2 linked regions of the Alligator mississippiensis genome follow. The protein of the gene in region 2 binds, or shares a complex with, the protein of the main gene of each other region. Links are inferred from orthologs where the notes say so. Each region holds a gene or a part of one and is shown on either strand. Other genes may lie near its edges.

Region 1 (7,600 bases), on a different chromosome or scaffold from region 2:
TAGCAAGAACATAATTTGTTGCTTGAAATACCTGTTCATTTTCTTGTACTGGCTCTTGAGATTGCATGCAGACACTCAAAATCCTGGTCATTTAATAATTAATACATGACAAATCAGTAGTTTCTGTTTTATAACCAGGTTTCTTTTCCCTCTGTGGTCTCTAGGCTCAGAGATCTTAACTAGGAGAGTTATGTAAAGAGAACTATGGGCACATCAACGGTATTTGCATCCAATATGGTATGCTCTGTCTCTTAGTAACAGAACAAAAAGCTAGAAATTCCTTAAACATTATTGTTTTCAAGTTGTGCAAATTATGGATCTTGTGACGGGCTGACTGTCTTCAACCCCTGTACAAGTCAACAGGCCAAATCTTTAACTCAGTTTCTTACTCAGGAAAAACTCCAGTTGCTTCAGAAGTTTGCCTGAGCAAAGGTAGAAAAATTCAGGAGTCTGGGGATTTGGCCCTATGAGACTTGAAGGCACTGTAGTACATGAGAGGCTTAAGCCATATAATTAAGAATGATGTCAACAGGAAATCCCTCAAAGAAATGAATGCAGCCTCACAGCCCTTGCAGCTTGCATTGTCTGCCTGCACCTTTCTCAAGGATACCCGAGTCCTAGTGATCAAAGAAAATTCTCTATAGTTTAATTATGCTTTCAGTGCACCTGCTTATATTATGTGATAATGTCTATGCATGGATAGACATCCATGTGATGATGTGTAGAGAGATGATGTGTAGATACATACAGTTGCACTAGAGAAGGAACTTTAAGTTAAAATGTACTTAGCACAATCCAGTCATTGTCTAGCACATATTTTCCATTTGAACAGCAGCATGAAGTAAACTCTAAAACATATATTCCATTTTTGACCATTAACAGCACTGATGCCTATCATTACACAAAAATAACTTTCCAAGGAGCTCTACCATTCCAAATAATTTAGTCTCAAATTAGTCTTAGCAACCATTTTGAGTGTCAATATGCAATATCAATGTTACAGTGGCTAAGAGAACAAGAGAAATTTTCTCCCTAGGCATCTTTACTGTCACACTCTACAAGTTCAAGTGACATTCGCTGATGGGGCAATACTCCAATACTTTATTATGTTAACTGCCATCTTAAACTTTGATTTCTAGGGAAAATATAAATTTGTGCCTATAGTAATTTTACCAGGTTATTTTCCTGAAAACATCATTTGCACATCATCCTGAAAATGTCCCCCTCACGTAGTCTAAATCCAAGCTTATTAAGAGTAGTACACTACATGAGAGTAAAGAGAACAAAGAATCCACAAGAAAAAAATGTGTTTCTGCTATATTATTTCTATTAACTCTTTGCATCAGGGATTTGTAGTCTGTATCTTGCCTGTTACAAGTATTCCCCAGGTCTTTAAACCTTCCTAAATGCCCAGGGAGGCTACATTTCAGTTCTCAATAAAGCATGCACTTTAATAAAAATGGCCCCCATTGCAGCCAATATAGCAATACTTGTGGATGAAAGATATCGAGATATCAGCTTATGCGTGTGATCTGCATATGCATGCCTTCAAGATGATAATGAGACTCTCTCTTACAGATAAAGCCCCTCCTAGAAAGCGTTTGCACTAAATAGCCAGAATTAAAAATGTGCCAGTCTTCTAATCGGCCCAAAAGGAAGACTGATCAGCAACCTCAGATTTACAAAGGGAAGCTTTCTGATCAGGCTACGGTATCAGGCGTATGGCAATGGACCGTGTTTAATGCCAGCATCCTAAAGGACCACGTTTAATACCAACATCCTAAAGGACGCTCCCAACATTATTAAATGGGAAGCTTCGTGGCAAAACTCTGCCTTGCCCTGTGATCCCAGAGCACTCTGGAAAGCAGAAAAATCCAAAGGGACCTGCTCTTTCTTTCCTTCTCAGGCTAATGCCCACTTCCCTGCAGCTTTCACCTGTTCTCACTCCAAATCCTCTCCTTTCATGAACAAACAGCAGGGAGTGAGAGAGGCAGCCTGGGCTTCCTGAAACTTTTCATTACTGAATCTCGCCTCACACATGCCCCTCCTGAGAGACCGCTTCTTAAGCACCGCAAAAATGAACAGAGAGCAAGAGGGCTCACCCGGAGGAGCTGGGCAAAATGAGAAAGGTCCCCAAAGAGGAGCCTGCCAAGACAAAACTCAGTGGGGAGGATTCCTCCCTAGACCCCCCACCCTCCAACCCAGCAGGACAAGCTGCAGCTCCGCTGGGCAGAGGTGACTCCGCCAGCTGGGCATGCTGAAGCCACCCGCCTGCCCCAGCAGTCCCTGTCCCTGCTGTGTGCCCAGTCGCCTGCCTGGCAAGTGGGGAAGGAGGGCTCTGCTTGGGCAGGGGAGGCGTGCCCCACGCCTGCGGACCCCCAGAGCCAAGCCTGCTCTCCTGCTGGCCCTGGCACCTGTGCTGTATGGCAAGGGGGGAGAAAAATGCCCCCTCCAGCAGGTGCCTGCCCTGTTGAGCCAGGAAGGGAGGTGGGGGATGAGACCTTTATGGGAGTGAAAGGTGGGGGGATCCGGAGGGGAAGCAGGGGGAGGAGAGTCTGAGACCCCGAGGAGAGGCAGGCAGAGGTGGGGGTCTGAGACTCTGCTGGGAAAGCAGGGGGGCGGCCCGAGACCCCGAGGGGATCCGAGACCCTGCTGGGAGGAAAGGAGAGGCAGGAAGAGGTCTGAGGCTCCCAAGGGGAGGGGGTCCGAGACCCCGAGGGGAAGCGGGGGAGGAGCGGGTCCGAGCCCCCTTGCTTCCGCTCTCCCGCCCGCAGGACGGGCAGGGAGCCTCCTGGGCAGCGGCTGCCCAGAGCCAGCAGCAGCGGCTCGGTTTCCCCGGCGCAGCAAAGTTTCCCCGGCGCTTGCCCGGCCCCGGGTCCTACCTGCCCCGGCCACAGCCAGCACGCCCGCTGCCAGCACCACGAGGCGCTCCATCTGCGCGGGCCCCGCGCGCGGCTCGGCAGCTGCCGGGCTCGAACTCGCGGCGCTCCGCCAGGCTGGGCAGAGACGGCGGCGGCGGCTCCACCCGCGGCCAGTCCTGCTCCCCAGGAAGAGTCCATGTGCCTCGCTCGGGGATGCTCGCCCAACCCGGGCCCCCCCCCCCGCTCCCCCTGACGCGTCAGCCCCGGGCCCACGCCCCTGCTCCCCCCCCCCGCGGCCGCGCTCGTTGGGCTGCGCCGAGTGCCGGCTTCAGGCGGCCCTGCCCCCCGCTCCGCTGCCAGTGGATCAGCCCCCCCCAACCAAGCACCTGCACCGAAGCAGAGGGACTGGAGGGCGCTTTGACCATGCCCCTCCCGCCAGGGGGCCGCAGCCTGGACCCCAGGGCTGGGGGAATCGCCTCACCCCTTTGCTAGAGGGAGCAGAGGCTGGGGCAGGGCAGCCTCCCTGGGAATGCCCCTGCCCTCCACTAGGCTGGGTTCCTAGGGGGGTGGCATTGCACCTTGCCCAGCTGACTGAGTGCCGCTTCAGTGGGTTCAGGCTGCACCTGTTACCCACTGAGACCTCAGGACACGGCCGATCCTGCTCCCAGTGTGGCTAGGGGTTTGGCCTCCTCCTCCTCCTCCTCCCAGCCTGTGGAAGGGACTGATAGATTTGCTTCCAGCTCAAGATTAATGGGAAAGAGTGCCCTTTCTCCTTCTGCTGAGCAGGCCTGTGAGGGGGAGGCACAGCTAGCAGGGGGGTGCGTCAGCATGGCTTCCATCTGCTAACCTCTTGTGCTCCTGCTTTTTACTTACCCAGCTTTTTTTATTTTTTGTTAAACACCCACCCCGACTCGGAGCGCTGCACAAGGGCTAAGAGGAACACGCCACTCACAAAATTACAAGCCACCCCCGACAAAATGGCAATCGCCCACCCTTCAGCTGGCCCAGCTCGTGAAGCCAGTTTGAGAAGCCTGCTCTGTCTTTGCTGCGGTTGCTTTTCTTTTTTATTTTCTCTTATTCTTGTCAGTTAAGCATTATCTGGATATCAACATGAGGACCTGCCCTGAATTACGGAGCGGTGAGATTCCTACACTACTCTTGTATTGTGCCCCTCATTCCAAGCGTTTGTCCTCTGTTTACGGGTCAGCAGGTTGTGGGCCTGCAGCCACCCCATTCTGTACAGAACTTAATAGTTGTTTAACAAGGGTCATTTTAGGAAACCCTTCCTCACTGGTGATGTGAGTCTACTTCTGTTTTTGTGAAGAATGATCTTTACTTACCATTCTCTCTATACATGCTTTACGTCAGAAATGTTTGGGAAACTTGGAAAACAGTCCTTGCAATAAATTAGCTGATCTGACATTTGTTAATGGTACAGCAATGGAAAAACAGGGGGGGGATAAAAGAGTCAAAAGACTCCTCTGCCGGCTCTCTATATTCCCATGGTCAAATCACTTGGCTGCTGGTTCTCATGTTTTCAATCCAAACAGTTGGGATGATTCTTTAAAGCTTTGGAAAGTCTGCAGTGAAAAGCACCACCCAGAACAATTACAAAAACAAACCTCTGTTGTCTCTCTAAACCCCATCCAGCATGTCAAAAAATACATTATACCACATAAAATAATGTCACCTACTGCTTCTCACTAATAAAATATGGCTTTAAATTTAGTCCAGAAAACTTGGAACCCAGATCTCGCTCCTGTTTAAATCAGTAGAAATGGGGTCAGACACTGAGAAACAAAATGATTTCTATTTTGGGGGAAAATAAAACTATACTAATTCTCTTTCCACCTCCCGTGAGAGATTTGTCTAGCTTTACAGAACTTCAAGTTGAATCACCATTTCATTGTAAAGCCAGAGGATTTTTTTTCTCCCTAGTGGCCTGATACTGGGCAATGTCATTTCAGATGGATATTTGGTACTCACGTGCCACGTAAGAAAAAGCTCTGTTTGTTCAGGCTTAAACATATAATAAAATTGTTCAACGTTACAACACCGAGGATATATATGAGTACTTTAAGGGTCATTTATATTCATGTACTCTTATTTTGGCAAACAATAAAAGCCTACAAGGGTTGCTTAGTTATTTAGTAAATTATATCAAGTGCAGAACACAGGTGTTCCTGGCTGGAGGCAGTGGATATGCTTAGTGGAATCTATGAGGTCAATGTCCCCAAAATTCTCTGTCATTAATCACCAATGTACTCTGATGATTTTTAGCCATTTCCATTTTTAAAGTCTTAAATATATTTCTTTTTTTTTCCTTAGAGTTTTATTTTGCAAGTGCCATTCTTATCCCAATGGAATGAATAGAGTTAATTGTAGAGCAACACCTTCTGTGGTATTCTGACAACATGGACTAATAGGAATGGGTCTCTTAGATGAAAGGGCAATGCTGTGCTCTGAAGCATGCCTCTGTGTTATGCCATTCACATTTGCTCAGCCACAGAATGACCTGGTGCACTTCCACACAAAGTTGCACTGGGTTTAACTAAAGATGCAGACTTGAGTAGCTTTTGAAAAGCTGGAAATGTTTCACAAAGGTATCTTTTCATATGTGGGATAAAGATACAGCCCCTGTGGCACTCCCAGGCTGGAATGATTAAAAATTGCTGCAGCTGCATGCAGCCACAGCTCTCCAGACATGGGGTGCTACAGGGGACTGTAGAGACCTTCAGTTTGGCTCTCCACACCCCACTCCTACCTGAAATCTTCTAGTCTAAGTCTCTTCTGCCTTATGAGAGGTAGAGGTGATTGGGGCTAGAGAGCCCAGCACCAGCAGGGGGGTCTGAGTACCAAACTGGCAAGGACCAGCAAGTTGGACCCCACAGCTGCACAGTCTGTTAAGTCAGACTGTCCACCCTCCCCTCCCAATGAAGGAGCAGGGGAAAAGCAGAGCACTGTGAGATTCTGAAGGACCAAGAGGTTCCCTGTCCCCATACTCATGTAATAAGAAAGGAAACGCTGCAAAATAGCACCTCATTTGAAGCGGTAATATTTTGGAGCACTTCAGCTGCTTTTGGAACATTGCAAAAGCAAGTACTCTTGTACAGGTAGCTCTTTAAAGTGTTTCAAAGACATTTTAATTGTTTCTTCATGCTGCACCATGAAGGTTTTCTTTTAAACTGATTAAATTAAACCAGTGCAAACCCAGAGTGGTCCCACATAAATCAACTAAGCTTCGCTTATCCTGAGTTATCAAAAATTGATTCCTTGTCAGCTTAAGCTAAATTAAAAATAACCAAAGATTAAAAAAAATACATAAGATAATGAATACAGAAGTTTGTACTGACTTAGGCAAATCAATTTAAAAGCATGCCTTTACCTAAATCCTGTGCAACTTTGGGGGGTAGACCAGCTTGAAACAATTCTGGGGCCATGTGGCTATTTAGAGTAGAAACCTCAAAGGAAAACATAGACGCTGCAGGATGTAATGGAGGTATTTCAGTAAGTAACATTCTAACCAGAGTCAATCCTATAGATAAGGGTACTACCAATATAGTCATACATGATAAAAGCCCTTTGCTGGTAACTCACAGAGGCAGCACATTGCAGGGAGAAAAGAAAAAAGATTTCTGTATTTTTTGCTAGGAACCAAATAGAAGAAGTGAATAGAGGGTTAGAGAAACTGGCACCTCCTAAGGCCATTCTCACACTTCCTCTAATATTATATGACTGGTAACAAATGCTTCCCCTGTATTAGTACAGAACTTAGTCCCAACATGATTATGGCAGAAATGCATGTTGCCAGAGGGTGTAAGGTTCAGATGACTTAAAACTGAAGTCCCGAACATTTGTAGCAATTAGAAGTTTGACAGCACTTTTGTAAGAGTAGCGCGTTAATAATTCCAGCCAGCTTAGCTGGATTTCAGCTCTCATAATATTTTACTTTGCAAAAATTCCTCCTGAAGTTCTAGTTGAAGCTGTGTATTTCTTCACTTCCTGACCTGAATAATTGTGATGTTGCTGACCATGTGTTGTTAAATTGCTAATCCTTTCTGCCACAGAGTTTGTGGCATTTGAAAGGCTGATAAAACATTTCCTTTATACTCCTTAATACTTCAGGGAGGTGTATGAAACAATTTGTGTTCCCTGGATGGCAGGTGATTAAATGTCCAAAGCACTATTGTTAGTGTCATGAGAAAAAATTCACATCTCAATTTTTACCTAAACTACTTGCATGCAGCATTTAGAATTGAATACATGAGCTCCAGTATGAAAACAGAGGGTGTCTACCACTTGATAGCATGCAAAGTTTTTTAGTTGCAGTAGTACCCTTTGTAGTCATGCCACAGTCTGGAAAGTTTAGGTCACGATCATATGAGCAGATGTGACTTTGCATCCAGTAGAGGGCAGCAGTGTACAAAATACTTATCCATAGTAGCAGGAGAAGTATTGATGCAGGGGCCGGCAAAATGTGACCTGCAGGCCAGATGCGGCCCACTAGACCATTCCATCTGGCCCATGGGGCCCCTAAAAAATTTAGAAAATTAATATTTATCTGCCCCTAGCTGCCTGTCATGCAGCCCTTGATGGCTTGCAAAACTCAGTAAGCGGCCCTCTGCCCGAAATAATTGCACATCCCTGTATTGATGAATGAATAAAGTAGTGGGTGTAAACCTACAGCCTGAATGTTAAAATGGTGGGGCATTAGTCTCACAGGTTAAGACCCGTTATTG
Region 2 (7,075 bases):
ACTGGCTGTCTGTGGCACGGGGGCCTCCCTTGCCACAAATATCAGACCTGTTTTTAAAAGTCCACCACAATAAACCATAACACCAAAGTCACCCAGCTGACTGGCCTCTGACTCCACCATCCCCACCCCAAGCCCCACCCCTACTCTGCCCTGGCTCAGTGTGCTGTGGTCCCAGGCACACATGTAAATACTGCACCTGAGAGCAATAAAGTCCGGCATGGACTGTGCCGGAGTATATTGCTTTGCATTCATTTCACATGTAGATTCACCCACAGGGACGCAAATCTCAGACAAAACAACTGCAATTATACTGATCATATTGAGCATATATGATTTTCTAAATATGGTACAACTAGAGCAACAAACCAAGCAAGATTGTACTACAAGTTCTACTGTTGTTAGAGGTGGATGATTTGCTTAGACAGAGATTTATTTGCTGGAAAATGCAGCTAGAGAACACATTAAACAACTCATCAAGTTAGGCAATTTTTTCAGCCAAAAAAATGGGATTTTCTTTGGAAGAGTCAAAACATTTTGTTTCAAATATGTTGAAAAGATGTGTTTTGTATGGTCATGTAGGAATGAAGATTTGAGACAAAATTTAGCTAATTTGAATTTTAGAAGATTGAAGAGTAAAAGGAAGATTAAAGAGTAAAAGGAAAATGCTTTAAAATTGAATTAAATATTTCATTGTACGTTATTATTTCCCCACTGAACAGAAAAATCAATTACCAACATAGCTCTGCCTGTTTACACTGAGGTTCAGGCATCATCTCACAGAGATGTCCAGCAAAGCCTCATTATGCTAAATCACATCATGCTAACACACCCACTTCTTTGAAATGAAGATGAGGGACTTGTATTAACACAAACCTGTCCTGCAGAAGCTGCAGGGCTGTCAGCTGGGAAGAAAGCCCCTGGAGAGGTCTGGGTGGCAGGTTGGGATCCTGGGATTAGTCCAGTGGTTGGGTGTTACTACTTTTGACAACATAAATGTCAACATCATTATCGCACAGCTTCAGCCTTTACACTGCATAGAAATGAACGTGGCTGCTCTCACGTCTTAGATCTACAATCAGGCTGCATGCAGATCCAGGGGGAAAACACTGCATTACTTTAACCTGGTTCCCATTATGTAAGGTTTTCTTCATTATCAGGTCCCACATCCCAACCCCAAGATGGCATAAATCAGGGTATGTCATAATAGGCAATGTTTGCTGATTTGATCTTAACTGCCCTTTTTTTTAGAGAGAAATTAAATACTCAGGATCCGAACACCAGTTTTGTGGCAAGATGTGGAATTGAGCATAACACCAATGTGTGCAGAATGTGCTGCCTGGACTACAATACTGAGAGCCAACACTGGGACCGGACCAGCAGTACACACAGCAGGAACTGGGGACGGGCAGACGACGTGTGGCCACTCCCTACGTACTAAGCACTTTCACGGAGCAGCCTGCGCAGTGAAGGAGGCTATGTGTAACAGAGAGGAACTGCTCCTGGACATTCAGCTGCTCTTTTTGCTGCACTTACACAAGGCTCCTCAGTACCTTTTTCCTCCTAAGGATTTGTGGGCGTTGGGGCTATCTCCTCTTCTGTGGATCTCTCCCCTGCTGTAGCTCAGAAGTCATGTTTAAAATGACACAGACCAACATACATGGAAATTCTTGCTGGTCTGTCAGATCTACGTGTCCGGCCCTGTCTTAACCTAGTGTGACACAACTGACATAACTGTTAATAACACTCAGGTGGTATTTCCTCCTTGGTACTTTCATGATTCACAAGCTGGGCCCTTCTGCCTTCCCTTGTGAGAAGCACCAATGCAAACTGTCAGCTTGTGATAAGGGAGTGATACATCCCTCAACCCCTCCCAAGCTTAATTCATTCCAGTCAATGAATAAAACCCTGGCAGAGGTGGAATCTGCAGTTGTGAGTGCAGCATTTCAGCACTAGGTGTCACTTTCAAAGTGAGAGTGCCCCATGGTGTCACCACAGGGCTGGGCACGGACCCTTTGGAGTTCACAGCCAGGACCTGGTGACCTGAAAGAGCTTCTAGGAAGCTCAAAGCATTTCCCAGGCTCCCTCCAACCTTCGGGGTCACGGGGAGCACGGGGTCTACAGAGGATGCACCAAGGGGGAAGAGGAAGAGGGAGGGGGGCTTGGCACCAAACTCCTGGGGGCTCGTTGTGAACAAGACTTGCAGAATCCAGCCTGGCTCAGGTCTAGAAGGCAGCAGAGCAAGACACTGACCATGGCAGGAGAGGAGGGGTAGAAACACGGGTGACCCAGAAGACCTTAGCTGCTCCTTGGAGCCCTACTGGGATGGTCCAAAGCCTGCCACTATGCGGAGGGATGCGGGGCGGGCTCCGGAGCAGGCCTGGCACCGCACGACTTCCACTTTGTCTTTAAAACAATGGGGTGAGACAACTCGCGGGAGAGGAGAGCACAGGTGCCAGGGGTGGCACTTGCTGTGGGTCTGAGGGCTCAGGGGCCGCGCTCGCAGACGTAGCCCTGGTCACCGCAGCCGCGGGTCCTGGCCCGGCCGGCTCTTCCCGCCCCCGGCCCGTCCCTGCCCCGCCTGGGAGAGGAGCCCCGTCCGCGGCCGCGGGGAGCAGTCCTGCCATGGCCGGGCACGCCGGAGCGGAGCCCGCGCTTCCCGGGGCAGGTAGCGGGCACCAAGTCGCGCCGCAAGTGGCCCCGAGGCTGCGAAACTACCCGGGGCTGCAAGCCTGGGCCGGCCGGACTCCGCCGTCGGGACCCGCGGGCACTGCCCGAGGCGGGGGGCTCGGCCGCCCCGCACCGCCCCGCCCCGGCGCCAGCGACCCGGGGCAGCGCGGGCGGCCCGCCTACCGTTGAAGCCGGGCAGCGAGCCCAGGTCGAGCGCTGCCAGCGTGGAGTTGAGGCCGAGCAGCAGGTCGGAGGAGTTGGAGCCCTCGGCCGCGATGGAGTCGGCGAACAGGTTCATCTGCAGCAGGGTCTTGAGCAGGTAGCGCAGCATGGCGATGGCGGCGGCGGCACGGGGAGGGAGGGCGGCCGCAGTCCGCTCCGCTCCGCGCCGCGCCGCCCGCGCTCTGCCTGCTCCAGCGCGTCTGCCGGCGGCGCCGCCCCGTCCCTCCTCCCGGCCCGGCCCGGCGCGGCGCAGCGCGGCGCTCCCGCGGGAGGCGGGCAGGAAGGCAGGTGCCAGCTCCAATAAATGTTTAATTATCCGATGAATAACCCGGCCCGGCCGGGAGGGGGGAGCCCCGCAGCGCTGCCTGCGCACCGCGCGCTCGCCCGCCCCGGAGGGGTCTCGAGCCCCGCAGTGCCGGGATGGCCGCGGTGCCCCCGAGCTCCTCCTGCGGGCGCCGCCACGGGCGTCCCCAGCCCGGGTCCAGCCACAGCAACGTGGTCCCGGCGTCCCCGCATGAGGACACTGCCCTGCTTCATGTGCCTGAGCCCCAGGACCTTCGTCTGCGCAGCGGGGAGGCCAGGCAAGGTGTGAGTTGTGGCACCAGGGCACATTGCAGTCACCTCTGCCACTGGCCGCTGCCCTCCCCCAATTCAGTGACAGCTCTGAAACACCCTAAACTTATCTTCTTCGGCACCTGCTGCTTTGCACTCCCACATTGGCATCGAGAAAATAACACACAGCATTGCATTGCCCTCTGACACCTACACCCACCGTGGGCATGGTCACAGCCATAAAGCCATGCATAGACACGGCTGGAGCCAGACAGCTACCTGCGGATACAGTCGCAGCAGCCATTAATAGAGCACTTCAGCTGATCACCAATACCTGTGTGCTGGAACTTAAACACCTGCTCATGACAAGGACCAGCAAGAGAACAGTCCTTTTGCAGGCTAAAATCAGAACCAGGCAACAATCAGGCCATTTGTATTGTGACCGTCGTGAGGCGTGTGTGCCACGTAGGCCCCTGAGTTCTGAGAATTCAATAATGCTGCAGAAGGAAGGAAGGAAAGAAAGGCAGTAGGAAAATGTGCTAGTGCGAGTGATTCCACTGGATCCTAGTCACTGTCAAATGCCTGATTGCCTCAACGGCAGTGGGGTTTCTCACAGCCTCATCGGCAGTGACTGTGAGAATGCCTCATCACCAGCCTTGATGGAAAAAAGTCTCCTGGTACATCCAAGCTCTTGCAGTATCTCAGGGTGGATCAGTACAGCAGCCCAAAAGCAAAGGTGAGCACTCATAACAACATTATATAAGCTCACCAACTCAAAACGGGGAGCTAGTGCCTCAACCATCCAAACCACTGTTCTAGCTCTGAGTTTCTCCTCTGCCGAGGATACATGCCCTGTATGGGAGAGATTCATACATGCACCTTGATCAGAATGCCTTGACCCCATTCTGAATGATAGCTGCCAGCACATCACCGGATGTCTGAAGCCTACCAGCCTACCAGGGAACAGACTGAAGTCCGGAAGAGCAGTGGCTGGTAGGACAGAACAACTGAGGCAAACTGAAGATGTGAGACACCTGCTGTATGAGTGTCCCACAGCACACAAACATCTGAAGTCATGCAGGAGCTTCCTCACCAGCACTCAACCTCTTGATGCCACACCCAAGGAGACACAACTATGGATGTGGAAAAAGAGGAGGAAGAAAATACCTGACAGCAAAAAAATGGATGTTCCAGTGGCTGAATCCTTACCACCTAACAAACCATGGCAAAGGTAACAATGTCTCAACCACCTATCAGATGTTCCAAGGAACTAATGAAAAGCAGGGCTATGCCACTGGTTCAACCACCTGTGACTGCAGCACAGAGCCTCAGACTACGCAACATCTGCTGCAATGCCTACTGCTCAAATGCACATGTACAATGACAGATCTTGCAAAGTACAGTAAATGAGCACAAGCACGCGTAAATGGTCAAATGTGGTGTAGAGACAGGAGAAGTAGTAGTACAGCAGACACTGGCTCCTTCCTCTGTGGTCCATTCAAAAGACTGTCACCAAAACAAACCATTCCTTTTCCCCATCCTCCCCTTGAGCCTCATCACTGGCTGTCACTGTCCAGCCATAGCAGGTTCAAGCAGCATGTCCTCCATGTTGAGCTTGCTCCTCCACCCTATCTTGCTTCATTCCCACTTCTGGCTGTTTTGCAATGCCTCATGCTGGGAACAGTCAGCTACCCCCCATATGCTTGCACCCACCCACATTCTTCTAAGTCAGGGGTAGGCAGTTATTTTTGGCTGGAGGGCCACTTAATGAGTTAAGTGGCTGCTCTCAGGTGCCTGTAGGTGACTGCTCATTGTACCAGGTGAACAGAGCTGGAGCTCCACACGCTGGGACAGGAGCTGCCAGGAGCCTCCCCCATGCCCAGAGCTGCACAGCAGGAAGAGGAGCCACTGGAGGTGGGGAGAGCTGCACAGCATCCAGGCAGATGCACTGGGAGCGACCCCATGGGGAAGCTGTGCACACTGGCCTGGCCAGGTCTGGGGCAGGCAGGTGTGGTGGGAGTGTGGCACGGGCTGCCCCAGGCAGGGCTCAGCCCCATGCAGAGTGCTGCATGGGTAGCCACAGGCCAGATCCAATCTATTAGCAGGCCAGAACCAGCCTGTGGGCTGTATTTTGCCCACTCCTGCTCTAAGTCCGTTTTTGCGGAGCATTTCTGCTGCCAGGGGGCAGTGTCCTCCTGTCTTGTCTTGTATCATTTTGGAGTTCAGCTCTAAGTGCATCAGATTCTCCTTTCACCTCCACTTTGCACACTATGAATGAGTTACACTGGTGTCAGTGAGGGGCCATTCCAGACCCTTGGTTTAATCCTGTTTTGTAAAGACACGCTGCTATTCTGCAGTACTATGAGAATGTTAACCCACTGCTAAGAAGGCTATTGCTGTTTCTCGCTGCCACAGGAGAGCCTCTCCTTCCCTTCCATAGTAATGAAGGAGATGTTGAATACCGGCAAACTAAACAAGTTGATAGAACCTGGTCTATGTCCATCATCAAGGTGTTCCACCTGCTAAACAAGGTAATATTTTCCTGCACACTAGAGTAATTTCTTCTCCTTCAGGAGTAACATAAAACAAACCCTCCTTTCCCTTCACAGCATATTAATAATAGTCCCAACCAGGCAAATGCCATCCCTTTGCCGTGTTATGAAGCTTCAAGCTTAAAAAGAGGATGCAGATTAATATGCACTAGCTGTGTCTTCCAGGCAGAGTGTAGTCTTGCTTGTCCTCACAAGATCTGGTGTTTTCCTTAAAGTCTCCTGAGTCAGAAGAGTATGATGGAAGCGCCTCTCTCATTTAAAAGAAATAGTAAAATTATAGCTCTCCTGATTGCCAGAAGAAACCTGTAAAATGTGATCCTCAGAGGCTCAAATGCAAGAGGCAAATAAAAAGAGCACCAAATTATTTGCTTTCTTCTTAAAAAAAAACACCTCATGATTTTTAAGCCAGTTTTATGATTGTGGGGGTCTTGACACATGATTTTGGAATGCTTGTGGGAGGCAAGATGGAGAATTGGACACTTCAAGACAACCTTTGAAGCTAAGGCTATTAGCATTGTACTACTGGGAGACAAAAGAATGGGGATCATTAGGAGTGACCCCTTAAGTTGCATATCAAGCATTATGATTAGGAAAAAATGAGATTGGAAAGCAATCTTCACCTGCCCACATGTGACCATTTCTAATTCAACACAGATTCCCATTAAAATGCATTCCAGACCAAAAAATACTGTTAAAACTTGAACCTACTATGTATTCTTTGTAAATCACTGGCATGTTTGTATTTAATGTGTAGTAATCAGGTTAGTAATAAATCTCTTTATGCTTTTCCCAGATGTTTAAAGTGACTCTGCATCCTAACAGCTTCATTACTCAGTTTGAATCTTAATGATTTCTCAGTACTGGAATTTCCAATGGTACATGTGTTCCCAGAAAAAAAACCCGATTAAGATGGAGTTAAGGCAGGAAGTTCATTTCAGGTATCTGAGTGTTAGAGACTGGAGTTGCCAGGGACCATTAATGTCCTTAGGTCTTGTGTATCAGGGTGAAGTTTGCTCGTATAACTCCACATGTGTAGGTGCAATTTAGACAGCATAGAAGAATGCTTTTGTCCACATAGCATG

The links. Proteins that work in one complex are often made in the same cells at the same time.
Region 1: the proteins of ROBO3 (region 2) and NELL1 are in contact, whole or in part, in a crystal structure (PDB 6POL), measured with the Homo sapiens proteins. The link is inferred for Alligator mississippiensis from reciprocal best matches to the Homo sapiens genes ROBO3 and NELL1. Residues at the interface, in NP_071765.2 of Homo sapiens: Ser553, Pro555, Val590, Glu592, Phe594, Pro596, Asn600, Thr601, Trp602, Thr604, Ile624, Leu626, Arg630, Gly633, Ala634, Trp635, Gly636, Leu637, Ser638, Glu639, Pro646, Val647, Arg648; in NP_006148.2 of Homo sapiens: Ala440, Lys441, Met442, His443, Tyr444, His446, Tyr458, Arg468, Val469, Asp470, Asp471, Phe472, Ser473, Asp478, Ile492, Cys493, Thr494, Asn495, Thr503, Cys504, Lys505, Pro506.

Annotation. Positions count from the first base shown.
Region 1 is NC_081825.1:212,993,032-213,000,631, forward strand, and holds the start of NELL1 (protein kinase C-binding protein NELL1), read right to left. Parts: upstream 3,059-7,600; 5' UTR 2,935-3,058; coding exon 2,883-2,934; intron 1-2,882. UniProt on the Homo sapiens protein: Plays a role in the control of cell growth and differentiation. Promotes osteoblast cell differentiation and terminal mineralization.
Region 2 is NC_081839.1:20,587,376-20,594,450, forward strand, and holds the start of ROBO3 (roundabout homolog 3), read right to left. Parts: upstream 3,071-7,075; 5' UTR 2,999-3,070; coding exon 2,851-2,998; intron 1-2,850. UniProt on the Homo sapiens protein: Receptor involved in axon guidance during development. Acts as a multifunctional regulator of pathfinding that simultaneously mediates NELL2 repulsion, inhibits SLIT repulsion, and facilitates Netrin-1/NTN1 attraction.